7 linked regions of the Sus scrofa genome follow. The protein of the gene in region 2 interacts with the protein of the main gene of each other region in a biochemical or structural test. Links are inferred from orthologs where the notes say so. Each region holds a gene or a part of one and is shown on either strand. Other genes may lie near its edges. The genes, in order: KIRREL, TJP1, JAM2, CGN, CLDN7, CLDN4 and JAM3.

Region 1 (4,271 bases), on a different chromosome or scaffold from region 2:
CTGTTTGTAGGAATTTGTGATTATATTCCCATTTCTCTGGGTTAGGAATGCTCTTTGTTTTTAAACCGTCTGTTAGCCTGTACATATGTGGTTTTGAATATATGGAGGACTCTCTGGGTCTGTGCATAGTGTGTTTCTGAATATGAGTTTTTGTGTTTTTCTGTCTGTGTTTCTGTGTCCTCTACATGTGGATGTGCTTGGACCATTCAGGCTGGCGTCAGAATCTGTGGAAGGTGTTGTAACAGCATATAACCAGCAGGGGGCACCAGAGAGCCATGCGCCTTTGCTCCGGGGCTGAAATCCAGAAATCTTGGCGGGTAGAGTTAGGGACCCAGGAATCTGGGAGGAAAGAAGAGGAGACCTCTCCAGACCAATACAATACTGTAAAGTTGTGCAATTCCTGTACAATTTCTGTTATTTCTCCTCAGCTCACTCCCTAGGACCCAGCGGTCAAGCATCCCCAACCCTGTGAGATGCAGAATCAAGGAGTTTGGGAGAGAGGTTGTGTGTTAAGCTGAGCCCTTTAAGAAAGAGGAAACCCTTCCTGAAAGCCCTCATCCCTCTCACTAGGACTTCTCTCCCTTCCCTGTAGCCAGCTCTCTCCACCCCAAAGGATCTCCAACTCTATGCTTGGAGATCTTCGTGTGGCTGCCCTCTCCTTGGCCTCTGAAGCCTTCCAGTTGGCTCCTTTCTCCTCTGGATGGGTAGGTGCCCAAGATAAACAAAGGCAGGAGTCCACTGTGCCTCTCCCCAGTCAGCTGAGGACTCCAACCCAGTCTGGTCCCACTGTGTGCTCGGCGAGGCCCCGAGGCAGGGGCTCTGGGCAGGTCCAAGAATTCTAGGATTCTCCAGCTTTGGGGTTTGGAGGTGGGAAGAAGTGTGTATCCCTCTCCACCCCTAACCTTCATGAGTCTTTTGAGAATTCCCAATTTGGGGGATCTAGGGGTTAGATTCTGGGTGTGGAATTGACAAATAAAAAAAAGATTTGATGCTTTTCGATTCCATGAACCAGCGCCTGCCCACCCCCTCCTCTCCCATACACGCTTACACACACCCAAACACACACAAACACTCACACACCCTTCCCATCACAGTCATTCCCTGGGCTAAAGGCTCGTCCTCAGCCCATGCCCCGCCTCCCCAATCTGATGCCTAGCTCCGTAGCCCGGGACTAAGGTTGTGTATATAAATGGGGGGGAGGTGCGGGTGGGCAGGGATCCGGCCGTCCCAGCGCCCGCGACTGTCACGTTCATTACCCCTTTTGCCCTCCACCGCTTTCTCTTTTGGTCTCTGTCCATCTCAGTTCCAGCGAGGGGTGTGAGTGAGTGTGTGTGTGTGTGTGTGTACGCGCGCGCGCACGGTGGGGGGAGCGGGGGGGGAGGGCTGTGGAGGGAGGCGCCGTCGGAGGGAGAGTAGACGTCAGGAGGAGGGACAGAGGAGGGAGAGAGGGAAGGAAGAGAAGGGGAGAGAAAGGGAGAGCAGAGACCGAAAGAGACCCCGAGAGATAAAGCTAGAGGCGAGAAATAATAAAGGGGAGAGGGGAAGGACAGAGGGGGGCGGAGAGAGAGAAGAGGGAGAGAGAGGTGGGGAGACGGAGAGGGACGGGACCGGGAGGAAAGAGAGATAAAGAGAAGCGGAGGGAAGGGAAGTGAGTTTGTGCGCGCGAGTGAGTGTGCGTGTGAGTGTGTAGGGGCGGGCGCGGGCGGTGGGGGGCGGGCTCCCGGGCTCCCCTCCTCCGCAGCCCGCTCCTCTCGCTCCCTCGCCAACTCCGGGCCCCAGCCGCGGGCGGGCGCACGGCGGGCGGACAGCATGCTGAGCCTCCTCGTCTGGATCCTCACTCTCTCCGATACTTTCTCCCAAGGTAAGGGCCCCCCGCCCGCGGCTGCCCTCGGCTCCCACCCCCACCCCCCCGGCCGGGCTCTGCGCCCCCGCCGTGGGGAGCACTGGGGGGGGGGCGGCCCGCGGCAGGTCCCGGCGGTCGGAGACGCCACGAGGCGGGGGCTGGGGCCCAGCGCGGAGTCCCGGGGGAGGGGGCGCGGAGTAACGGGGCCCGGCGCGGAGGAGTTTTCCGTTGATTTGCCCAAGTTGTTTCCTCTGGCTGCGCGGGAGAACGGAGAATCGGGGCCGCGGGGGCCGGGGGTCGGAGTGGAAAAGGGATCCGGAGGCTCCAAGTCTTTTCCGGAGCCTCTGGCAGCCCTGCCTGCCTCCACCCTCTGAGGCCAGGAGTCCGGACGCCTGGGTCCTGGCCGGGGGAAGGCTGCGGAGAGGGTGGGATTTCAGATGCTGGGAGGTGGGAGGTGCGCGGTGCGCGGTGCGCGGAAAGCCGAGGACCCCCTGCTCCGGAAGATGGAGCTGAGGGAATCCCTGTCCTCCATCCAGCCGAACCCCTGGGGCGGGGTGGGGGTGGGGGTTCTGAGCCTGAGCCGCGGCTCCTGACTGCCTGGGGCTGCCCCCTCCAGGGGAAGGGAGGGTTGCCTCCGGGCCTCTGGTGGGGATTTGAACCCCTGCCCGCGGAGGCTCCGGCTCGGGAGCGGAGTTCCAAAGGCAGCTTCAGGCCCGCGCGATATGGAAAGGGGCACCTGCAGGGGAACTAACACCCCACTTGGGGTCAGGAAAGTGGGGATGGCCGGGGCTCTTTTTGGGACTGGCAGGGGAGAGGCTGGGAGGTGGAGGGGGATGAGAATGTTAGTGTGTCCTGAGGCTGGGCTGGAGGGGACGCGTGCGGCCGCCAGGGGAACTGAAGAAATCCAGGGCCCAGACTCCAGCCAAGACTGGGGTCTGTGGGAGTGGATTTTTGTCTCCTGGGGCTGACTCTAAGGAAGATTTAATCCTGCTGAGCTAGCTCCCCCTTCTCCCTCCCCGCCCCGCAAATGGAGCTGACACACAGAAATTGACACACAAACACCCAAAACCAGTCATAGACACTGAGACAGACTATTCACCTATGGAGACAGACATACCCGCGAGCATCCCCCACACGGAGACAGACACATATACACAAAGACACTGACACATCTGAGGAAGACAGGTTCCTCCCCCTTATCGGCACATGCGTGCACATTCATGCACCCAAACACATCAAAACTCACAGACACAGTACATGTATGCAGGCAGGCATTTACAAGGACACCACACACACACACACACACACACACACTGAAACCCAGCTACAGATACCTAACCCTCCAGCAAACAAAGAAACTTGAAGAGACATTCATATAGGCAGACACCTATGGAGATGTACAGACTACAAAATGGAGGAGGTGGTCTCCTTTTTTGGGGTGGTGGGGCCGTGGGAATCCAGGAAGAAGGAAGTTAGCTTGGACAGGTTAGCCCTGCTCTCAATCCCCTTCCTGGGCTGGTGGGTGTGTGTTTAGGGGTGGGGTGTTATGCTGGACCCCTCCCCTCCCCTCCTGGCCAGGCCCCTCCCCAGCTCTGAAGGCCAAGCCAGGCTGAGCTGGTGGAGGTGGGTCCCCATCCATCCCCTTAGAGCCCCCCAACCCCCCCCCCACAGACACACACACACACACACACACTCAGAATTTGGGAAGAGCGCGCATCTGTGGTGTGAGTGGAGTGGGAGGTGGTGCCGAGGGAGAGGAGGTCTGGCCCTGGGGTTGGCAGGCCAAGCCAGCCACTTGGCAGAAAGTTGGGAAGATGACTTAAGTTCTGACTTTGTTCAGCCAGGCTGCTGGAGAGGGTGAAGGGGGGAGAGGGGAGGGCCCACGGTGGTGGGGGAGGGGTCGGCTGGGTCAGTATTGGTATGTGATGGGGGCAGGCCTTGGTCTGCCCCTTTTCCCGCAGCCCTAATGTGTCAGCAACATGGATACGAAAAGCTTCCAGGAACAAAAGCTGCAGTTAGCAAACGGGAGAGGCATGTGGATCGAGTCGGGACAGAAATGGGCTGGGAGAAGTGTGTGGAGTGCCTTTCTCCCTCCGAAAAGGGAGGGGGAGGGGGAAGGGGTCGAGGTTAGCTGAGCCCCCATGTCGCCTCCTCCAGGACCCGATGAAAGTGTGCAAACGTGTTTGGGGTGGGGGGAGGGGATAGCAAAGGGGGAAACAAGGGGACCGAGCGGAGGGGAGAGGAAGCCACTCCTGAGTGTTCCTAGGAAGCTGAGCTAGGACTGGGAGGAGGCAGGGTGGGAAGGAGAGGGGATCTGGGGAGACTGGGACACTCATGGGGGGCCGGCGGAGGGGAAGGTGATAGGACCTCCTTCCTCAGTTTCTGTCCTTAGAAAGAGAGTTCTAGGTCTGGGACTGGGGCAGTGAGA
Region 2 (4,027 bases):
ATACACAAATCATCAAAAAATACTAGAGCCCTGGAGAGTGTGCGCGCACCTTACTTTGCCCCTTGAAAAACCAGATGAACATCTGCAAATCTACTTAATATTGAGTGGAAATTCTGAATGCTCATTTAAGATTGTGGAAAAGCACAACAAAATCCTCCTGCTCTTTCCAGGCTGCCTCTTTTTAAGACGTTTTTTAATGCTAGCCCCAGTCACTGCCTGCCTTGAACGTGACTCTCTAGAGGAAAGATGTTCTTTGTGTTCTCTTCACAAACTCTTTATTGGGGAAAGCAGTTGTGAAAACCGCCCTCCAGTGATCAAAAAGAATAAACCTGCTTTCTTGACCTTGGGACCAATTGCTGCTAATATTCATACCTAACAGCTCCTCGAACATTATCTCCATATCTTGGTTTTTAGATGTAACATCAAAAAATTTTCCTTAACTTTCTTTCCCAGTTACATATTATTAAGAATTCATTTAGGAGTTCCCATCGTGGCTCAGCAGTAAGGAACCTGACTAGGATCCATCAGGATTCGGGTTTGATCCCTGGCCTTATTCAGTGGGTTAAGGATCCGGCATTGCTATGAGCTGTAGCTTAGGCTGGCAGCTACAGCTATGATTCGACCTCTAGCCTGGGAACTTCCATATGCCACAGGTGTCACCCTAAATAGACAAAAAAGAAAAAGAAAAAAGAATTCATTCATTTAGGATTCCTCCTGTGGCACAAAGGGATGGACAGCATCTCTGGGCTAGGACACAGGTTCAATCCCCAGCCTGGCACAGTGGGTTAAAGGATCTGGGGTTGTCGCAGTTGTGGCTCGGATCTGATCTCTGGCCCAGGAACCCCATGTGCCACAAAAAAGGGGAAAAAATCATTTATTCAATACACATCTTTTGAGAACTGATTTTGTACTAGACACTAGCTGCAAGGAATTCAGTAGTAAACAAAACAGACAAAAAGCCCTGGCCCCATGCAACTTACATTCTAGGGCGAGGGAGAAGTGACTTACATAAAACTTTAGTAAAATATGTAGTTTGTTCAATACTGATCAGCGCTCAGAAGAAAAGGTGGATGGGGATTAAGACTGTTGGTGTGGACCTCTGCTGTTTTTGCTGTAAACATTCATCTAAAAAGTTATCTTCAATTGTTACTTCTTTTTACTTCATAATATCACCATATCCTTTTTTTTCCCCTGCACTAGAGTCATGTGGAAATTGCCAGGGCCAGGGATCCAGCCCACACCACAGCAGCGACAACACTGGATCTTTAACCTGCTTCACCACAAGGAACTCCCCGTGACATATTTTTGATGTATTTACTAAAACCCTCTTCCATGAACATTTCTTAATTACAGCCAACTTTTATCAGCCTAGTCTTCCATGTGTTGACACTTGCTGTTCATCAAATTAAAATACCTTCTGCAGAATAAATTTCTGTTTTTAAACAACTGGGAGGCAGGGAGAGGAAGACACTAACATTTACTTGGCACCTACTATTTGGCCAGGCATAGAAGCAGGCAGGCACTTTGTATTTACCAGGGCTTCTGATCTCCATATGACCCCAAAAGATAGGTAACATCGTTCTCCTGTTACAGAGGAAGAAACAGATACTCCAGCAATTGTCTAAAGTCACACAGTAAGTGTGGCATGGCTGAAATTTGAACTTCGAGGCCCATATTTTTCAGTCTCTCCTCCAAAACTTTGCACTACTGGGATTTTTTTTTTTAATCTTCTGTTTTTCTTGGCTGATCGATCTTTATATTCTTTGGATCGTTATTACATTTTGTCTTATATAGCAAAAATTTTACTTTTCTCCAGTGCCTAAAAGCGGCCTCACATCCCTTCTCCATAACCTTAAAATTAAACTGGACTATGTTTAATGGAATCGAATAAACCTCTCTGAACCATATTAACCACAATTTAAAAAAACTTGAAGTGACCCCTGAACTCGAAGATCACTGGCACCTTTTTTCCCCCTACAGTCACCATCCCCTTACCTGAGCACTCCTTTTGCTATAGAACCTCACACCTAGGTCCTAAGTCGATGGAATGAATGCCTAGGTAGTCACTGGGATTTCACAGGGCATATTTAAACGCTAATAAAACGCAACACAATCAGAGATAATCAACTATGAACATCAGATATGGATAACCCCACATTTTCTTTCTTAGGGGTATTCTTCCCCATCACCCCAACAGCAGTTCCCAGGTTGGAAGAACTGGACCGCCCGCAGTAAATTACAGTCCCTGAAATCTCAACAATGACCCGCCACTGACGCCCCGAGCGAGGGAGCGGCGCGCCCTTGACCGCGGACCGGGCAGAGGATGGATTCTGAGAAAGCTCAGAAAGCGCTCGCTGATAATACACGGTTCGCTGCCTCCGCGTCAGCCCGGCTGGAGATTCTCAGCCAGAACCCGCAGCGGCGGAGACCCGGGGACCCGCCCCGCCGTCGGCTGCACACTCACGGTAGTCCAGGCGAGGGTCGTGAACGCGCCCCGCCCCCGTCCCCCCACCCCCTTCCCCGACCCTGGTCCGCGCACCCCGCGCCCCGCGGCCCTCACCACAGCTTCCTCTTGAGCGGCAGGAGGCTGCCGCGGTTGGACGGCGTGACGCCGATGGCCATCTGCAGCACCGTCAGGTATTTCTGGTACTTCATCTTGTCCCCGCTCCGCTCGCGGCCAGGGCCTCGCCGCCGCCGCCGGCGCCGCAGACACAGCCCCTCCAGGCGCCGCATAGGTCAGCCCTGGGCCATCCGCCGCCCCGCTCCGCCGCCAGGCTCCGCTTCCACCGCCGCCGCCGCCGCCGCCTGCGTGCCGGCCGTGCGCGTCCGGGCTCCCGTTCCCGCGTGCGTGCGTGGTCTCCGCTCCCGCCGCCGTGCGTGGCCGCCGCCCCCTTCCTCCCCTACCCACCCAGCTCCAGCCCCGCGCCGCGCGGCGCTTCACACCCGCCCGCGAGCCCGCGCCCGCCTCTGTGCCGCCGGCTCCCAACTGCGGGCGAGGCCGCCCCTCCAACCCCGCGCCGCCCCAGCGTCCTCCGGTCGCACAGCGCGTTCACTCCCACAAAATCCCAACCACAATCTTCCAGAGGAGAAAAAAAAATTTTTTTTTTTATAATTACTACTTGACACCATCATTTATGTGCTCCACCCAAAGTGTGTGCACGTGTTGTGTGTCTGTAAAATGCACGCACATACACATGCTGTTTGTATGTATAATATGTGTATATATGTCGGTCCTCTCTGGCAGGCAGACCAACTGTGGAAACAACCCTGAACCGTGCAAAACTATCTTAAAAAGAGTCGACGGGAAAAAATGAAGACTGTTACACCGACCTTGAAACATTTTGTCCAAACATTCCTAACTCTTCACTGGTGGTTATAAGTGTATAGAGAAATGGGAAAATAGCAAAGCGAATCATTTGTTGTACTGTAAAACAGTGCAAACGTTGAGAACTGAAGTGTTTTATTCCTTTTCTTGTCTTTTTAGGGCCACACGTAAGGCATATGGAAGTTCCTAGGCTAGGGGTCAAATTGGAGCTGTAGCTGCTGGCCAATGCCACAGCATAGCAATCCTAGGCCAAGAGCTGCGTCTGTCACCTACACTATAGCTCAACGTGGAATCCTTAACTCACTGATGGAGGCCAGGGATGCAAGCAGCATCTTCATGGATACTAGTCAGGTTCCTTACCTCTGAGCCACAGGGGAACTCCAAAGTGTTTTATTTCTTGCAACAAAAAAGTAACGAGTAACATAAAGGGTGCTTGTCTTTTCCTAGAAGAGTTGTTATATACCCACAGAGCCTGTTTTCTGTGTCTTGGCAAAGAGTCATGTTTGGATCACTTTCAAGATTTTATCCTCTGGGTGATCACTGTGGTAGAGTATATTAGAGTTCCTTTAGCCTTATGTCCTCTGGGACATCATCATCCTTTCTGTCACAGTCCACTGTCCTCATTCAAGCTTTCGTTTGGTACATTCCTCTGGCAGCATGTCCAGAGTCACTGGAAAGGTGGCAATGTCAGCATTCCCACAG
Region 3 (4,278 bases), on a different chromosome or scaffold from region 2:
GTTGAGGGACATTCTACAAAATATTTCACTAATACTCCTCAGACCTGTCAAAGTGACAAAAAACAAGGGACGTGTGAGAAACTGTCACAGCTAAGAGGAGCCTCAGGATACAGAACTATTAAATGGAAGGTGGTGTCCTGGCTGGGAGCCTGGAACAGAAGAGGACATTAGGGAAGGATGAAGGAAATCTGAATAAAGTGTGGACTTCTGTTAAAAATAATGTATCCCCAGGAGTTCCTGTCATGGTGCAGTGGTTAGCGACTCTGACTAGGAAACCATGAGGTTGTGGGTTTGATCCCTGGCCTTGCTCAGTGGGTTAAGGATCCAGTGTTGCCGTGAGCTGCGGTGTGGGTCGCAGATGTGGCTCGGATCCCGCATTGCTGTGTCTCTGGCGTAGGCCGGCGGCTGCAGCTTCGATTAGACCCCTAGCCTGGGAACCTCCATATGCCGTGGGAGCAGCTCAAGAAAAGGCAAAAAAAGACAAAAAAAAAAAAGTATCAATATTGGTTCCTTAACTGTGACAAATGGATCATACTAATGTAAAATATTCATAACGGGGGAGTGGGTGTGGTGTGTATGGGAACTCTCTATACCACATTTGTAATTTTTCTTTAAATCTAAACTGCTATGAAAGTTTAAAAGTTTGTTTTCAAAAAAAAAAAAACAAAAAACAAAAAACAAATAGAAGAAAACATTCTTGCAGTACTAGGCCTTCTGGCATCCCAGGACCAATACAGAAAGGATCACTACCCACTTCCAAGTTAATCCCTACAGGAGTCAGCATTAGAAGGAACGATGTGTTAGCTTTACCTAAAGCTTGAAAAAGAGGTAGTCTGTTTCTATTTTTGACTATTGAACAAGATACCAAAGTAAAATCATTTTCTCTGTTTTTAATTAGTGATAATTCTCCACTAAAGTCAGTCCTTTTTATTTGAAATTTAAGGCTGTCAGTAAAATACATAACTCTCCTAGCAGTTTTGTTACAATATCTCCAACCTGCTTCTTTGTTGCCTTCGACAGCATTAGTAATTTTTTTTCTGTGTTCAACATGATACTAATTGATATTTAAAAATTGCATAGTGGTTTTATTGTGAAGCCTTGACTTTCTGGTTTGATTTTTTATAACATAGGGCAGCCCATGTCCCTTCCCTGAGACAACTTGACCTTCCACTAAGGGACAAAAACCCACACCACACTGAGCTTGGCAATACTCACTTAGGCAATGAGAGAGCCAGAAAAAGTCATTATATTGTGGTATTAGACACTCGTCCGGCAGATTATTTTAAGTATTATATTACCAGAACTTGGATAGCAATAACAGTAATCCATTCTATGAAAAATAAAAGGAAAGAAAAACGAAAGAAAAAAGGAAAACTGTGCCGAAGTGCTTAAGAGCTATTGTCGTTTCCTCCATTTTTCTAAAAAATTAACGCGAGGATTTGAAATCTTATGAGCCCAGAATCCGTGAAAATCCTGTTTAGAACCATCCCATGAAATTGGCTTTGGGACGTCTCCCGCTATTCTATCATTCGGCTTTTGTATCTTTCTAACAATCATCCCCTTGCACGTCGCTTGAGGACACAGCAGCTGGCTGGAGCGCCCAGACCAGACTCCTCTAACTGAATGTAGATGTGCAGGTGGCGAGGATAAAAGTAATTCTGGCTCAGCAGCCCCGAATTCCCTCCCACCCCTGACCCAAAAGTGCACTACATATGACTGGTGCAACTGGGACCCCCAGAAGCCAAAAATACTTTAACACCGCCCCCTCCTCTGGCACTTAAGAGGGTGGCCGGCGCCTGGCTCTGAGTGATGCCATCTTGGGATCTTAGCATCTTCTAAGGAGTTAGTGAGTTTTGCATTCTGTTCACGTCCCTGTGTCTGTGTCTTTGAAAACTTAACCCAACTTTGTAAGAAGGTGAGAACCTGCTGGTGTGGATTCTTAATTTTCTCTAACTGGTACTGACAAAAAGCAGATGCTATATACAAGGAAAGGAAGACCTCGGGCTCCCCGCCCCTGCTGGCACCCCGGATTATGGGCTCGCTGAGTGTCTGGTTAGACACCCGGCCGCAGAACCCTCGGCCCAGAGCCCTGAGACAGCCCGCCGCCAGCGCCGCGACCAGGGGCTGTAGGTTTGGGGGAGGTGGTCTCCGCAGGAGTGGGTGGGAGGATGGAGGTACCCCCAGCAACTTACAGTCCAGGGCGACCACCAGGTAGCGCAGCAGCAGCAGGAGGAGGCGGTGGCGGCTCCTCCTCGCCATCTTCGCGGGGTCGGAGCTGGCGGCTCCTCGAAAGCCGAGGGTCTTGGTGGCGGGACCGCTGGAGGCCGGCGGGGGACTCCCTGAACTTCGGTGGCTGAGAGAAGAGACGCGTGCAGGGCAGGGGAGGGGCGGACCCTGATGGGATGTCAGTTTCCCTTTTCCAGGGGCGCCTTCTCCGCGGGCTGCCTAGAGGCGGGTCTGGCCTAGACAGGGGCCTGAGGGTCTGGGCAGTTATTTTTTTTGGGGGGGGGGTAAGAAGGGGCGGGCAGTGGGAGCCGGACGAGGTGTTGCCCGGGTCCTAACGAGGGGGCAGGAGGAGGCGACGAGCGGAAGGGAAGCCCTGGCGGGGCGGCCCCCGCCCCCGCGCCGCCGGGATTGATCGGCTTTGTGTCTGGTCCGGCGCGGGGCTGCCAGCTGTCCCCAGGGCGAGGAGCCCGGGCTTGGGAGGCGCTGGCCGCCGGGATCAGGGGGGTGGGGCACGGTGCAAGAGGGCACTCCGCCTGCCTTGGTCCAACTCCCCTCTCCTCCTCCGCACAAAAGTTCTTTGGGGGTTTTCAGCCTAGGGGTGGAGATATTTGGAAAATTCTGGCCAACCCGCGAAGCTGCGAGGGAGGCGCTCCGGGGAGATGGGGTTCTCCGGCTCCGCCTTGGAGGCGAAGGGGGGAAAAAAAACAATTGAGACTCGTGCTGGAAGGCAGGTCTCAGATGTTAGCCATCGCCTTGGCTCCTTCTCTGTGTAAGTTTCCTGCTTCTTAGAGGGTTAAGCTGTGTTTTGTGTTCCTTGCTTTCCACGTGTCAGAAGTTCATCTAACGGTGTGAAATATTTATCATGTTTCTTTTCAGTTATATAACTGCCGCCTGTGGAGTTTTCCACATGTTAAAACTCTACAGCTGCCCTTTGTCAGGTTTATTTTTGGTCTACAGTGCTTTTAAAAGGGAAACCCATTATGAATGCTCTGTTGCGTGCTTTAAAATTGACCCGCACTTACATCGCACACAGTACAAGGGCTAAACGGGAAATTTTAAAATTTCCTCCTAGGGACCAAAAAATGTCTGGTGCATTTAAGAGTATTGACAGGTCTGGAAAAAGGCCATTCCTAAGAGATGGAATTGTTCCCCATGTGTTTTTTAAACTGTAGAATAATGGGTAAAGTTCTGCATAGAAGACAGTTGATTTAGTGGTGTGCACGCAAAGAATTTAGCTTAGCTCAGTGGACAAAGGCAGCCAGAGTTCAGATATGCAGAGCTGTGAGGAATGAGGCGTCCCTACTGTTTCCTTGGTGACAGTGATGGAGGCTTTAACGCCCATGGTGGGAGAGGGGCAGAGGGGACCCAGAAAGGAAAATTGAAATGGCAAAAATGTTAGAGCTGTACCCAGTCGAGCAAGGAGAAAGGACGTGAACAACAACGAGCTTATGCCAGTTTTTCTGGGCTGTGACAAGAAAGATTTAACGCTGCAGAAGAAAAGTTGTTGGCATCCTCTTTTCTCATTCTTGCCACAACTGTTTCTTTTGCTCCTTCCTCCCTACAGATACACACAAAGTGGAATTTTTTTTTTTTTAATTCTGTGACATCCTATGTGAATAACTGATTCACTGCGTTATCTGTCACCAGGCAAGGTGTTTGTCAAAGAGCTGCGATGTGCCGGATGCTGGAGGACAGTGATTTACAAGATCGAGTCTTTGCTGCTAATGAGCTCACAGTCTTGAGGAAAGACAGTGAGTTCCATCTGGAAAGACCTCTAAAACCACATGGTAAGTGTTACTGGGGGACAGAAAAAAAGATTTTTATTGAGTGCTTTCTCAGCAGAGTCTGAACAGGGCACTATCTAATCCTCCAACAACTCTGTAAGAGAGAAAATATTATCATTCCCACTTTACAGATGAGACAACCTGTCTGAGAGATGCTAAGGAGCTTGTTCAAGGTCAAGGATAAGAGGATGTTCCTATGTTGGGGATGCATGTAATGTACACACATCCTCCCATTTAGGCATGGAAAGTTAAGCCACATTTTAAACGG
Region 4 (3,500 bases), on a different chromosome or scaffold from region 2:
CCCCAAATTTTATGTGACATCTATAAATTTCCAAACAGTAGCAATGAATTCAAAGTTGTTTAAAACACTGCAGTCAAACAAAATCCATCAGCTGTGGGCTGCTACTTCTCCATCCCTAGTATAGAAAGAGGCTTGGAGTATCCTGGCTCTTTTCCCCACAGATATCCCACCTGTGCCAGGATCCAGACCCCCCCACACCCCCCGCCACCCCAATCACCTTCCCTCTCCCACCCTCAGTGTCCTCACCTCAAGGCTCTTGAGTTGTCGGCTCTTATCGTCTTGGGAGCGTTTTTTGTTCTCTGCCTCTTGCTCGAGCCCCTGCAGCCGCTGGGCCAGCAGCTCTTTGTCCAGCCGGGCTGTGTCCCGATCAGCCTGGGATGCCTGCAGGGCCTGCCGCAGCCTCTGAGTCTGGTCAGAAAGGAAAAATGCAACAGCTCAGATAAGGTCAGGTGGAGGTTGAGGGGTGGGAGCAGTCCACCCTGCGGGGAGAAATAGTTCAACACTGACATTCTTAAGAATTGCCAGAACATGGTGGTAATAAAAAAGAATGACTTTTAGCCCATTTTCATTTTTGTCTTTTTAAAACCCTCCACACAAGTTTAAAGCACCTAAAGAGTTCTTAGACGATGGATCCTGGATCCCAGCCCCAGGAGTTAGGATTTAAGATGTACAGGATATATCTTGGGTATTGAGATTTTTTTTTTTTTTTTTTTTTTTTTTTTTGTCTTTTTAGGGCTGCACCCAGAGCATATGGAGGTTCCCAGGCTAGGGGTCTAATCAGAGCTGTAGCCACTGGCCTACACCACAGCCACAGCAACACAAAATCCAAGCCGTGTCTGTGACCTACACCACAGCTCATGGCAATGCTGGATCCTTAACCCAGTGAGTGAGGCCAGGGATCAAACCCGAGTCTCCATGGATGCTAGTCGGGTTCATTAACCACTGAGCCATGAAGGGAACTCCTGGTATTGAGATTTTTAAAACTCTCCCCAGGTGACCCTGATGTGCAGCAGAGTTTGCAAATCACACCTATACAGACGATGCATCCCCTACTGTCTGTACCTAGCTAGGGTGGACAACACCCCCCTGCCACCCAACTCTCCCACCTAAGTGATTATACCTAAACCCAGGTCCCAGGATCCCTTAAAGGACGCTGGAAGGGTTCCCACTCCATCCTCTGGCCATTTAAGGGTCCTACCTCATCCTGAAGCCGGCTCAGCCCCCCAGAGGTCTTCTCAGCCTCACTGGCCCACTCCTTGGCCTGGCGCTGGGCATCTGCTACCTCCCGCCGGGCCTTTTCCTTGTAATCCTCCAGCTGAGACTGGAGCTCCTGCAGGGCTTGCTTGGAGTCATCCCCAATCTGCTCCAGCTAAAACACAGAAAAAGAGTTATTTCAGCACTGCATCTCTTTAACAGACGCCTCTGTCCCTTCTCCAGGCTCAGACTCTCAAGACTCTCCCAGAGCCTCCTTCCTGCCAAAGCAGTTCTCTCTTCTCTTTCCTGGACCTAGGTCCCTAGTATAGCTGGTAGTAATATATAAATTTTCTGGATTCGAATCCTGGCTCTACCGCTTATTAGATGGGTCTGGGTCTCAGGTTCCCATCTGTAAAATGGGATGATAACAGTATCTCCATCACAAGGGTGTTGTAAGAATGTTAACTAATTATGTTAAAGTTATTTACAACAGTACCTGATACAAAGTAAACCCTAAATGACCACATTTCAGCAAACCCAAGATGCTAATGATTATTTTAAGACGTACCGCTAAAAGAAAAATCTGCCCGTTAAGCTATAACACATTCGTATAAGACACAAATCAATTTCATAGAGTTCCCGTCATGGCGCAGTGGTTAATGAATCCGACTAGGAACCATGAGGTTGCGGGTTCGATCCTTGGCCTTGCTCAGTGGGTTAAGGATCTGGCGTTGCCGTGAGCTGTGGTGTAGGTCACAGACCCGGCTCGCATCCCACGTTGCTGTGGCTCTGGCATAGGCCAGCAGCTACAGCTCCGATTAGACCCCTAGCCTGGGAACCTCTGTATGCCGTGGGAGCGGCCCTGGAAACAGGCAAAAAAAAACAAAAAACAAACGAAAAAAGACACAAATCAATTTCAGAGATGACACAATGTGCCTTTTAGAACAGATGAAACATATGATGTGTCTGCTCCAGTTTTACAGTGAGAGAGTAAGAGAACCTTAGCCCAAAAGAGCAGTTTCTTTCCTTTTCTTCCTTTCTTCCTTCCCTTCCCCCAAACATAAAAGTCTACCAATGAAAATTCTTATTTTAGGTCTTACAGATGCCTCAGGAGGGATTATAGGTCTTTTCTCTTCCTCCAAATATAAAACTCTACCAATGAACATTCTGCTCTTTGGGCCTATAGACTTCTAGGAGGAACTCCGGGAAATGTTCTCCAAGGATCAAGACCATCAGGGGAGGGAAGTAGGAAGGATGCCACTCTGAGGATCTGGCCTCGGCCTCCCCAACAATGAACTTGAGGAAAGCAGCCACCACACGATGTGACCCCAACTCCCACCCCCTGTCCCGCCAGGCAAGCTTCGATATGAGCGGAGCCTCTTCCTGAGCCCAGGCCGCCCCAGGCCCCACCTCCTTGTTCAGCCGGTCCACAGTCCGGTCCAGCAAGCGCTTCTGCTCCTCCAGCTCGGCTTTGCTGCGCCGGAGGGCCTCCCGCTGCTTCCCCTCCTCCTCTAGGGCCCTGTTCAGCGCCTGCTGCTCCTGCCCCAGGCGGGCCAGCCCCCGCTGGGCCTCCTCCAGCCGTGCCTCCAGGGCCCGCTTGGCTGCTGCCAGGCTCCCCTCCTCTTCCTGAGCTGTGTTCAGGGCCTCCTCTAGCCGCTGCTTCTCTGCCTGTGATGGGGAAGGAGAGAACCATTGGATGACAGGATGCGAACCTTGGGCTCAAGCCATTTGGAGGTGAGTGGATGGGAGGAAGGAGGAAGAGATGCTTGTTTTAAAAAGGTGGGCCACAAAAACAGGCTCAGAGGACCCAGCGAAGAACAGAGAACAGGCAAAAAGTAGATAGAAGACAGACAAAAATGCCAGTGACACTTGAGAAAGTCACACCAAAGCATACGCCAGGAAATAAACCCAAGGTTACCAGAAGGCTGGGAAGGCAAACAAAAGTACAGTCCACACAAAATCAAAGTGATGGCTGAGGATTTAGGCAGGGATGAGGAGACAGCGCCAGGAGGAAGCTAACAAGATCGGCGAAAGTACTGACCTCCAGCCGCTGCACCTTGTCCCGAAGCCGTGCCTCCGCCACTTCCCCGCCTTCCGCCAAGCCTCGCGCCTCCTTCAGTTGCTGCTCCAGACCCAGGATTCGCCGTCGGAATTCGTCGTTCTCCTCCTGGGTCTCCCGAAGTGTTGTTTCCACTGCCGTCCGACGCTGCCCCAGCACTGCTGCCTCTGCCTCTGCTGCCATCTGAGCCTGAGGCCGGTTCAGGGAGAGGAGGCTCAGACCCCAGGGCTCAAGGTCAACGACAACT
Region 5 (3,693 bases), on a different chromosome or scaffold from region 2:
TTCCTTTGTCTCTGGTGGCCTCACCCTGTCTCTGCCCCGACTTTGTTCCCTGAGTCTGAAGGCCCTGCCCTGTGACCCATGAGCCAGGCAGCAGCTTCCAGGTGGGACAGAAAGCAGGCGGGGGGGGGGGGGGGGGGGCAGAAGGGGAGGTGAGAGGATAGGAACAGCCCCATGCCCTTCCCCAGCCTAATAAAATCTTTATTTTTTAATTTAAAAAAAACCTCTTTGGTCACTATTTAAACAAGAGTTGGGAGCAAATGGGACTGGAGACTGGCAATAGTCCCTTTCGTCAAAATGGGGGGCCTGGGTGCCAGAAGGGTGGAGCTGGCAAGGCCTTGCACCCCATTGGTGGCAGGAAGTGATTTTTTTTTTAAACAAGTAGGTACACTTTAGGTTCTAGGCTCCCTGCAAGTACCTGAGTTGAAAGAAAGCAGATGCTCTGAAGGGAGAATAAAAGCCTACTTTCCAAAACATAGTTTTATTACTGTACAAAAAGCACACACTCTCCCCTTTTGGTCCCCCCTCCCAACCCCCCAGGAACTGTACACAGTGTGCCAGGCTGGAGTGACCGCAGGCTTCTGCTCCGCACTCTGCCCACGGGCTGAGCTCTCTGCCCCAGGTCCTTTCAGATGTCTGGGGTGCCCTATAGGCTGCCAGGCTGGGGCAGGGCAGCCCAGCTCACACGTACTCCTTGGCAGAATTGGGCTTAGGGTAGGAGCGGGGTGCACGGTACCCAGATTGGCCCTCACTCCCAGGACAAGAGCAAGAGAGCAGCGCACCTCCCAGGAGGACCAGAGAGGACCCTGCCCAGCCAATGAAGATGGCAGGGCCAAACTCATACCTGTGGAGAGATGGGACTGGGGTCAGAAGCCCTGGCCTGCCTCTCCGGACCCCAGACCCTTAGAAGGTAGGGCTCCCATACTTACTTCACGTTTGTGGGGACCAACGGGTTATAAAAGTCTGTGACAATCTGGTGGCCATACCAGGAGCAAGCTATCAACGCACAAAGACCTGGAGAAGAAATGAGGATTCAGACATTGTGAACACCCCCCCCAATCCAGTACCACGCCGGCCCTCACCACCCCCCAGGATGGGCCCGGAAGAGAGTCCCTGGGCCCACCGTAGACCTGTTGCTCACCTGCCACGATGAAAATGATGCCTCCAGTCATGGCTATACGGGCTTTCTTCACTTTGTCGTCTCCCCCACAGTTTGTACACTTCATGCCCATGGTTCCCACGAACATGGCCATCAAACCCAGCACCAGGGAGACCACCATTAGGGCTCGGGTGGCTTGCAGGGCCGCTGCGGAGAAGGCAAAAGGATGCCATCGTTGCTGGAAATGCCAGCGGCCCTCGGAGGGCTCCAGCCTCCTGAGTCGCTGACCGAGCCCCACTGGTCGCTAGTCTGGGGCCCCCTTGGCTCCCGGTCCCGGGCCAGAGCCGGTGGATCCCGCCCCTCCTGACTCCGCGGCCTTCCCGCTCCGCCCCGCCCTTTCGGCTCTAGGATCCGCCCGGGGCGCCAGGGTTTCGATGAAACTGCCCCAGGGAGGGGGAAGGGTGAAAGGGGACGTCGAAGAGGAGGCGAGCTGGTGGCCGCAGCCCCGGAACCCCGGCCGCGGATCCCGGCCCTCGTCCCAGCTCTGACCCCACTATCGAGGCCACGGTTTGTGGCTTTGGCTAATCGGCCGATAAGATTAGGAGCCGCAGGCAGCCGCCCAGGCCCGACAGGGCGCACGGCTCCTCGGCCCTCAGTCCGACCCGGCGGCCTCCAGCCCGACCCGGCGGCCTCCAGCCCAAGCCGCCTTTCGTCCGAGAAAAGGGCGGGAGAAGGCGGAGGCCGTTGCTTCCTTGGGGCGGGGGGAGGGGGGAAGGCCCGGCTCCCCGGGAGGCGCTAGGGCCGCCAAGCCGGGGACGAGGCTCCTCCAGGGCCAAGAGGAGAGCCGCGGGCCCGGGACGCGCGCACGTGCAGCCCCAGAGGCCCGCGGCCGGCCGACCCCACGGCTCCCGCCCGACCGCTTCCGCTTCCTCCTCTCCCACCTGCTCCCAGGCAACCCAGAAGGTCGGGCCCTGGGACCCCGCACGCCCCCCGCCCCAACCTCGGCCCTGGGCGCGTCCGCCCCGTCGGTCCCACGGCCTTACCGGACAGGGCGAGCACCGAGTCGTACGTTTTGCAGCTCATCATGCCTGTGCTCTGCGTGACGCAGTCCATCCATAGCCCCTTGTACATGGCCTGGGCCGTGATGATGTTGTCCCCCGCGTACGAGCTCATCTGCCACTGCGGGATGGCGGTGCAGGCCACCAGGCCCACCCAGCCCAGCAGAGCCATGGAAAAGCCCAGCAGTTGCAGGCCGGAGTTGGCCATTTCCGCCCTGAGAAAAGACGAGGGGCGCCGGGTGGGCGAATTTTAAGTCAGTCCAGGAGACAAAAAAAAGTTGGTGGTCAAGTGCCTGCAAATCTAGTCACCGAGGTAAACACAAATCGACCCCTGGGACGGGGGTGGGGGCGAAGAGGCCTCACAGCAGAGGGAACAGGGTTGGTGGCCGGCGAAAGCGATCCGCGAAGACCAGGCGGTTCCCTCCCGTGCGCTCGGCGACCCTCCCCAAACAAAGGTGGAGGGGCCGTAGGGGCGCGGTCCCGGAGTGGAAGTCCCAAGGTACCCTGGGCTCTCGGCCCGAGGCTGCAGTGCGAGGCCGAGGTCGCTCGGCGGTGAGCAGGCAGGTGCGGGCGCACAGGTGCGGCGCACCTGAGTATATGTAGGGCGTCGGGGGCGCGCCCCCGCGGGCTCTGGGAGCGCGAGGGGGGAGGGGCCGGAGGGGCGGCCGAGGGTGACCTGACGTCACCAAAGGGACACTCACCTGAGCCGGAAGTCCTGGCCCCCACCCCTCCCGGCCCAGGTAAAGAGGAAGAAACCTGAGCACCAGGGTCACGCCCCTCGACTAGCCGGGCTCAGACCGCCGGAGGGGAGGAGGCGGAGTCTGCGCCGGAGTCCCCAGCTTAGAGTAAGCCCCTCTGGACTGGAGGTCCCTGGGGCTCTAGGTTGTCCCTTGCCCTCTCCCCAACAGGTGCGCCAGGAACGCGGTGGAGCCGGAGCGGGGTGGGGGGGATGCCCCGGGCCAGCCTTGATGCCGCCTTTCCCGCCCGCGGGGACTCTCGGTTTCCACCCTAGGCGCTCTTTGTCCCGCCCTACTTTCGCCCTCATCCTCTGCGCTTCTCTTTTTCCCTTCAGCGTCCTCTCCTAGTAGCCAATCCCACCTGCAGGGGCTCTGGCTCCAATCCTTCAGAACTGCCCACAGCAGCGGGGTTGGCGTCCCCGTCCCTGCCTGACGTGACAGCGTTTGGGCCCTTGGTACCCCACGTCCCCAAGGTCACTGTCCCACCCCGCCTCAAGGGTGCTTATAGCAGAAGGAAGAAACCACTGAGCCGGAAGCCAGGCAAGGGTGGGAGCAGAGAAAGGCTGGGTCAGAGTCTTGGCCACACCTGTCATTCCCCTCCCTGGAGTCTTTGTGAGCCGTCCTCACCTTTCCTCTACCTCCTCCCTGAGCCCTGCACACACTTCTCTCCTTCCTTCTGATCCTGGACCTGCCTCTTTGTGCGTCCCCCCCACCCCTTCACCTTCGGTCTCCCAGGACGTCTTGGCTCTAATAGGGCCTTTAATTCAGCCCGCAGACTCCCACCTCACCCTCGGGTTTCTTC
Region 6 (2,766 bases), on a different chromosome or scaffold from region 2:
GCTTCCTGGCTGAGGGCCAGAGGAAGACTGTCCTCCCTGCCCTCCCCAGGCTAGTCAATGACCTTGGCAGGGGTGGAAGATTCCAGAGGTGGCCAGTCTCCGAGGGGCCCAGGGTCCGCCCGCTGAGGTTGCAGAGGCAGAGCCCTGAGGTGGCAGGGTGGGGGCAGGAAGGGGTGCGGGCCACCTGGACAGCCTCTGTGGCCCCCTCCCCCACCACTACCCAAACCAGTTTGTAGCACCTCTGCCCCTCCCCTCTAAACCTGTCTGTCCACACCACTCCGGTGACTGTGTTCCACGGGCAGGTGGGTGAGCAAGGCAGCCGATCTCATGGCCACAGGTTTCTGTGGGCAAGGCACAGCCCAAGTGCTGGCTGACCCACCCAGAGGATGCCGGCGGAGGCAGTGGGGAAGGTCAAAGGAGGAGACATTGTCCACTCAGAGGCAGAGCCCACGCAAAGTCAGGGCTGAGCTGTCCTGGCCAGCAGGAGCCAGCCCCCAGTATCCACAGCCATTCAGAGGAGGGCAGCGCAGGAGTCTCTTTCCATCCATCCTTGCTAGCATTGGAAGTGGCCTTGGGAAGGTGTCCGAGAGGGTCAGAAGGCGCTGAGGGGCCTCTGGCCAGCGGCCCGGCTCAGTCCCTGCTTGCCCAGCCCTGGCAGCCTGCGGCCCGTGGCAGGGCCATTCTGGAGTCACAGATTGCAGTCCAGGGAGAAACCAAGCTGAAAGGAAAAGAATCGGCGGTAGCACCTTACACGTAGTTGCTGGCGGGGGCGGAGCGGGCGGCGGAGTACTTGGCTGAGTAGGGCTTGTCGGTACGGGGTGGGCAGTTGCAGCAAAGCAGGGCGCCACCGAGCATCAGCAGGCCAGAGGCAGCCCAGCCGATGTAGAGCGAGGCACCCATCTCCCGCTTCTGGCCCGAGGCCACCAGGGGATTGTAGAAGTCGCGGATGACATTGTGGGCGGTCCAGGACACGGGCACCATCACCAGCAGGCCGGCCAGCAGGAACACCACACCGGCCACGATCATGGTCTTGGCCTTGGCGCTCTCATCATCCACGCAGTTGGTGCACTTGCCGCCCACCACCGACAGCAGCACACCTAGCACGGCCAGGATGATACAGATGACGATGAGGGCGCGGGCCGCCTGCAGGTCCTGCGGCAGCGCCAGCAGCGAGTCGTACACCTTGCACTGCATCTGGCCCGTGCTCTGCACCACGCAGTTCATCCACAGGCCCTCCCAGATGGTCTGCGACGTGACGATGTTGCTGCCGATGAAGGCCGTGACGCGCCACATGGGCAGCGCGCAGCTCAGGATGGCCCCCAGCCAGCCCAGAACGGCCAGGGCGATACCCATCACCTGCAGCCCCATGGAAGCCATGGCTCAGGCTCTGCTGGGGTCTAGGAGCTGGAAGGAAGGCTGTGGGGTCCGGCCCTGGAGGCTGTTAGAGTCCAGACACCTGAACACCGATGGCCAGTCAGCGTCCGAAGAGAGGCTTTTCACCGCAAGTCCAGAGGCAAAGCCGATTGAAGCGTCTCTCCTGAGTCAGAGGCACAAGCCCAGCAAGCGCTCGCAGACTAGTTCCTTCCTGCCGCCAAAGTGCCACCTGCTCACAGAGTGGAGAGGTTATATGGTGCTGCGGGGGAGGGGCGGGGGCGAGGGAGGGGTTTCAGTCGCAGGAGCCGCCCCCCTGACCAGTTTCTCTAGATTCCTGAGCCTGCCAACAAAGGCACTTTAAGGCCCCAGCCCTGGGCCCCTGAGTCATGACCCTGGAGAGCCAGTATCAGAGGAAACTGCCCTTTCCCCCGGCCCCCAGGCCCATGCTGAAGTCACACGGGAGACAGACACTGAGTCACAGCCTACACGCACCTGGACATACCTGGGGGGCCGGAAGGGGAGCCTTCAGGTCCGGGACCTGAGGTCCTGGGTCCCCACCCCCCGGGGCTCCATCATTCCAGGCTTGGGTGGGTGGATGGCGGGGGCGGGGGCGGGAGCGGAGACCCTCAGGGAGAGGATCTGAGGATGCAGCCCTGGGGACTTCAGAGGGCAGCTGTACCCTGATCCCTGCAATGAGTCCTTATCAGCTTATCCGTCACTGGTCTGATAATGGCTATTAAGAGCCTCACCATCCATGCATCCGCCTCACCAGGGAGGGACCAGCTTAAGGAACCAGGAGCTGGGGGGCCTGGGCTCCTGGGTCCATCACCTGCCCTCCCCATCCCTCGGCACCATCATCTGGCTTCCCAGCCCTGCTGGAGGAGGAGGGGTCTGGGAGGTGATGCTCCTTCGGACAAAGAAAGAAGGAAGGCTGCCGGCCCCTGCCCCCCGACATTTCCACCAGTTCCTGCCAGAGCTGAGCCTCTTTGGCCAAAACTGGGTTGGGGAGGTCGCTGAGAGCAAACCGTGGCCAGACCCTGGGACCTCAGCCCAGCAAATGGGTGTTTACTCAGTGAAGACACACAAAACCGTCGTCCGATAAAGGCAGGATGGGAGCAAAGTCCCCTGTGACCTGGAAGGGGAGGGGGAGCTCAGAGCAGATGGGGTTCCAGGAAAAGGGGCTCAACAGGCAGGGGGAGCTCCTTGGCACAACTCCAGGGGGCGCTAACTTCTTGGCCTGTGCTGAGGAGGACTCTGATGGCAGAAATCACCGGGGACGGGCCGCCTGGAGTTGTGCAAGGCTGGGGGACGAGGTGAAGGGGACGGAACAATGAGGACAAAGGTGCCCGAGGTGTGGAAAGGCAGCAAGTTCTGGGAACCAGAACAGATTCA
Region 7 (3,500 bases), on a different chromosome or scaffold from region 2:
ATCTCCCCTTCCTCCCAAACACAAAGTTATATTGGCCTTCGATAGACTTTCATAACAAATTTAAAACTTTTAGGAGTTCCTATGTGGCTCAGATCAGAGATCCAGGGTTGTCACTGCAGCTTGGGTTCGAACCCTAGCCCAGGAACTTCCACATGCTGCAGGTGGATTCAAAACAAAAATGAAAACTTTTGTACTTCAAAGAACACAAGCAAGTGAGAAGATGGTCCGCTGAATGGGAGAAAGTATTTACAAATCATATATCTGATGAAGGACTAATATACTAGTATATAAAGAATTTGCCACTCAATAAATAGACAACCTAATTAAAAATGGACTAAGGATTTGAATAGACATTTCTCCAGAAAGATAGGCAAATACACAATAAGCATAAGATGCTCAACATCATTAGTTGCCAGGGAAATGCCAATTGAAACCATAATAAGCTACCGCTTCACAGCCCCTAGGATGGCTGGAATCAAAATGATGGATCACCCAGGTGTTTGGGGGACGTGAGAAAACACTGCTGAGGGAACATAAAACTGTGCACCATGGTGGGAAACAGTTTGGTGGTTTCTTTAAAAAATTATCCATGTGACATCAAACAACCCAGCAATTGTACTCCTGGCCATTATTCCCAAGTAGTGCAAAATTGCATTCACACAAAAACTGGTACAATGTTTATGAATATCATGGTAACAATCAGAAAGTGGAAACAACTCAAATATACAGCAGTGGATGAAATGGATTTAAAATGTGGCATATTGGAGTTCCCGTCGTGGTGCAGTGGTTAACGAATCCGACTAGGAACCATGAGGTTGCGGGTTCGGTCCCTGCCCTTGCTCAGTGGGTTAACGATCCGGCGTTGCCGTGAGCTGTGGTGTAGGTTGCAGACGTGGCTCGGATCCCGCGTTGCTGTGGCTCTGGCGTAGGCCGGTGGCTACAGCTCCGATTCAACCCCTAGCCTGGGAACCTCCATATGCCGCGGGGAGCGGCCCAAGAAATAGCAACAACAACAATAACAACAACAACAACAAAATAATAAAATAAAATAAAATGTGGCATATCTACAACAATATGATTCACTGATAGAAAAAAGAACAGAGAACAGACACTTGCTACAGCACAGATGAACCTTGAAAACAATATGCTGAGTGAAAGAAGCCAGGACCAAATCCTGTGTGATTCCATTTATAGGAAGCATCCGGAACAGACAAATCCAGAGACAAAGTAGCTCGGGGGCCGCCAGACAGAGAAACGGGGTGGACACAGGGTCTCTTTGTGGAGGGGAAGAAGTGCTGGAATTTGACATTGTGGTCACATTATCTTTGCTGAATGTATTAACCCAGTACACACTTCAAAACAGAATATGAATTACTGTATCTCAATTAAAACACTTAAAAGACATAGTAACTCTTTTCAAAGGATTAAGATCCCAGGCAGTGACAAATAGGGAAGGAATTCGAAAAAAAATTGACACAAAAATGAGGACTGAATTATTACTAAACCTGCCAACTGGTGACAAGTATAGGAAAGATTTACCAGAACGTAATAACCACAGCAAAAGGCTCGTGATAAGAGGACGAACATTTCCAAAGGTGCTTTCTACGGGGAAGGCTGTCATCTGGTCGTCATCGGGGTCAGAATGTCCACCATATGAGGAAACAGTCAAGACAAATCCGCATAAAGCAGGAGACCATGAGCTTCAAGCTTTTGTCCAGGCCTCTAATTTGTATGGTACGGACCCCTCCCCTTTCCCCTCCAAGAGGAAGGTGTTTAATTCCCAGAAACACATTCCCACCCGGTCAGGGCTCATCAGGAATCGCCCAATGAGGCTGCCAGAGAGTAACAATTCCATCTCTACAAAAAATGAGAGGCGGGGAGGACACTGTGGGAAAACAAAGCTATTTCTAAGAGCCCATGACCCCTGATGATGTGGGGGAGCTGAGGCAGAAAGGTCAGGGGCTTCGGTTGTTTCCACAAAGCCTCCCTCCCTTCCCTGAAACCTCCAGTCAGTTCTCAGAGGGCCTGTGGTGGCCTTCTGCCCCATCACCTCTGAAGCTGTGCTGACCCCCTCACACACACTGCTCCCTGGGAGTAACCGCCCCACCCCATCTCAGCTCCTCTCAGCTCTCTCCACATGACCCTGGCCTCACTCCTGGCCTCTGCAGAAGAATCCCGAACTGGGCCCTGCCCTGCAGAGCAACCACCTCGGTGTCCTGGGGAGAGCTTTCAAGCGCCTGGGGCCTCAGTTCCTGCCCTCGCCTGGCTCACAGCTGAGCCTGCGGTTCCTCCTAGAAGCTCACTTTGCTTCCACTCTTCTGCATGTGCTCCTGGCCCAGCCCCTGCCTGCAGCCCCCGCCTGACCAGCTCACCTCCCTTGACACCTCCGCCTGGATGGCACTCCTGGGGAAGCATCCCCTGACCACTGAGCTGCCCCTGTCATGCGAGGGTGCTGACATCCAGCTGACTGCCTTCCTAGGAGGAGCACAGTGGACACTGCTTTCCTCCTGCTGCTCCGTAGGGTTCATTATAAGTCATTTAGCTTATAATGTTGTGGGTCATGATGGGGAAGTGGCATAGGAAAACCTTCCTCTGATACCTCAAAATGATGGCTGCATGTGGGCTAAAACTCTAACTGACAAAGTGATATTTACTGAACCAGGTGACACGTTCAGGGAGGCTCCCTTCACCATTCTCACTACTGCAAGCTTGAATTTTCCATAAGTAAAACAAGACAGAAAACCAATCCTGGCCACACACACAGGTCCAGTCAGAGCAAAGTCTTGGCCACAAATGCATGCCTGGGCCTTCTGTACAAAGGAAAGGACCACAGGATCATACCCTGAATTTTGTTGTCAAAAAACACATATGAGGTTTGTTCATCTTGAATTTTCTTCCATTCAATCCTGGGGTCATTTGTCTGTGAATCCGTAATGATACAAGAGAGTTCCACACCTAATGAGAAGAGGAAAAAAAGAACTCTTAGTGTTTGTGGAGCAATGTTAGGTTAACTTGTATACTCAGACCCTGCAAGCTACATCTATTTAGGTCTGTCCTGCAGTTTAAAAATCTAGCTAGCTCCAGGCTCCAAGAGACTTTAATTTTAGCCAGAAAAACAATTAAGATGATTAGCAGAGACTTTTACTAAAGAGAGTACATGCTTCCCCTGATATATATTCTTGTATATAAGAATGTTGTTGGTTGTGTAAATGCAAAGCTAGGCCAGGAATCAGAGTTTAGCCAACAGGAAGCCTGCAGAGCTCCCCAGAGGCTACTGAAGCAGTGCTATCCTGGCACCGTGTCCGCTAAGAAACCCCACCCCCACCTCCAGCTTTTGGACATGAAACATCCGTGGGCCTCTGTCCCTCACTGGCTGCAAGTCTACCAAGTAGTGCCCATTCGCTGAATGCCTCCCTAGTACTTACTTTCAAATTCCTGTACCACTGGGTTTCGGTTGCTGGATTTGAGATTCACGGCCCCTGTCAAGCAGCCTGAAGGAA

The links.
Region 1: the proteins of TJP1 (region 2) and KIRREL form a complex in vitro, tested with the Homo sapiens proteins (3 studies listed by BioGRID and IntAct, with this or other methods). The link is inferred for Sus scrofa from reciprocal best matches to the Homo sapiens genes TJP1 and KIRREL1.
Region 3: the proteins of TJP1 (region 2) and JAM2 form a complex in vitro, tested with the Homo sapiens proteins (2 studies listed by BioGRID and IntAct, with this or other methods). The link is inferred for Sus scrofa from reciprocal best matches to the Homo sapiens genes TJP1 and JAM2.
Region 4: the proteins of TJP1 (region 2) and CGN form a complex in vitro, tested with the Homo sapiens proteins (2 studies listed by BioGRID and IntAct, with this or other methods). The link is inferred for Sus scrofa from reciprocal best matches to the Homo sapiens genes TJP1 and CGN.
Region 5: the proteins of TJP1 (region 2) and CLDN7 form a complex in vitro, tested with the Homo sapiens proteins (2 studies listed by BioGRID and IntAct, with this or other methods). The link is inferred for Sus scrofa from reciprocal best matches to the Homo sapiens genes TJP1 and CLDN7.
Region 6: the proteins of TJP1 (region 2) and CLDN4 form a complex in vitro, tested with the Homo sapiens proteins (2 studies listed by BioGRID and IntAct, with this or other methods). The link is inferred for Sus scrofa from reciprocal best matches to the Homo sapiens genes TJP1 and CLDN4.
Region 7: the proteins of TJP1 (region 2) and JAM3 form a complex in vitro, tested with the Homo sapiens proteins (2 studies listed by BioGRID and IntAct, with this or other methods). The link is inferred for Sus scrofa from reciprocal best matches to the Homo sapiens genes TJP1 and JAM3.

Annotation. Positions count from the first base shown.
Region 1 is NC_010446.5:92,288,088-92,292,358, reverse strand, and holds the start of KIRREL (kin of IRRE-like protein 1), read left to right. Parts: upstream 1-1,471; 5' UTR 1,472-1,809; coding exon 1,810-1,861; intron 1,862-4,271. UniProt on the Homo sapiens protein: Required for proper function of the glomerular filtration barrier. It is involved in the maintenance of a stable podocyte architecture with interdigitating foot processes connected by specialized cell-cell junctions, known as the slit diaphragm.
Region 2 is NC_010443.5:145,193,058-145,197,084, forward strand, and holds the start of TJP1 (tight junction protein ZO-1), read right to left. Parts: upstream 2,801-4,027; 5' UTR 2,734-2,800; coding exon 2,561-2,733; intron 1-2,560. UniProt on the Homo sapiens protein: TJP1, TJP2, and TJP3 are closely related scaffolding proteins that link tight junction (TJ) transmembrane proteins such as claudins, junctional adhesion molecules, and occludin to the actin cytoskeleton.
Region 3 is NC_010455.5:189,198,311-189,202,588, reverse strand, and holds the start of JAM2 (junctional adhesion molecule B), read right to left. Parts: upstream 2,801-4,278; 5' UTR 2,260-2,800; coding exon 2,193-2,259; intron 1-2,192. UniProt on the Homo sapiens protein: Junctional adhesion protein that mediates heterotypic cell-cell interactions with its cognate receptor JAM3 to regulate different cellular processes. Plays a role in homing and mobilization of hematopoietic stem and progenitor cells within the bone marrow.
Region 4 is NC_010446.5:97,709,999-97,713,498, forward strand, and holds part of CGN (cingulin), read right to left. Parts: intron 3,443-3,500; coding exon 3,236-3,442; intron 2,863-3,235; coding exon 2,605-2,862; intron 1,370-2,604; coding exon 1,199-1,369; intron 409-1,198; coding exon 247-408; intron 1-246. UniProt on the Homo sapiens protein: Probably plays a role in the formation and regulation of the tight junction (TJ) paracellular permeability barrier.
Region 5 is NC_010454.4:52,612,056-52,615,748, forward strand, and holds CLDN7 (claudin-7 precursor), read right to left. Parts: upstream 2,535-3,693; 5' UTR 2,363-2,534; coding exon 2,140-2,362; intron 1,304-2,139; coding exon 1,139-1,303; intron 1,012-1,138; coding exon 927-1,011; intron 842-926; coding exon 679-841; 3' UTR 501-678; downstream 1-500. UniProt on the Homo sapiens protein: Plays a major role in tight junction-specific obliteration of the intercellular space.
Region 6 is NC_010445.4:11,051,054-11,053,819, reverse strand, and holds CLDN4 (claudin-4), read right to left. Parts: upstream 1,540-2,766; 5' UTR 1,378-1,539; coding exon 748-1,377; 3' UTR 501-747; downstream 1-500. UniProt on the Homo sapiens protein: Can associate with other claudins to regulate tight junction structural and functional strand dynamics.
Region 7 is NC_010451.4:60,702,245-60,705,744, reverse strand, and holds part of JAM3 (junctional adhesion molecule C), read right to left. Parts: intron 3,492-3,500; coding exon 3,426-3,491; intron 2,956-3,425; coding exon 2,842-2,955; intron 1-2,841. UniProt on the Homo sapiens protein: Junctional adhesion protein that mediates heterotypic cell-cell interactions with its cognate receptor JAM2 to regulate different cellular processes. Plays a role in homing and mobilization of hematopoietic stem and progenitor cells within the bone marrow.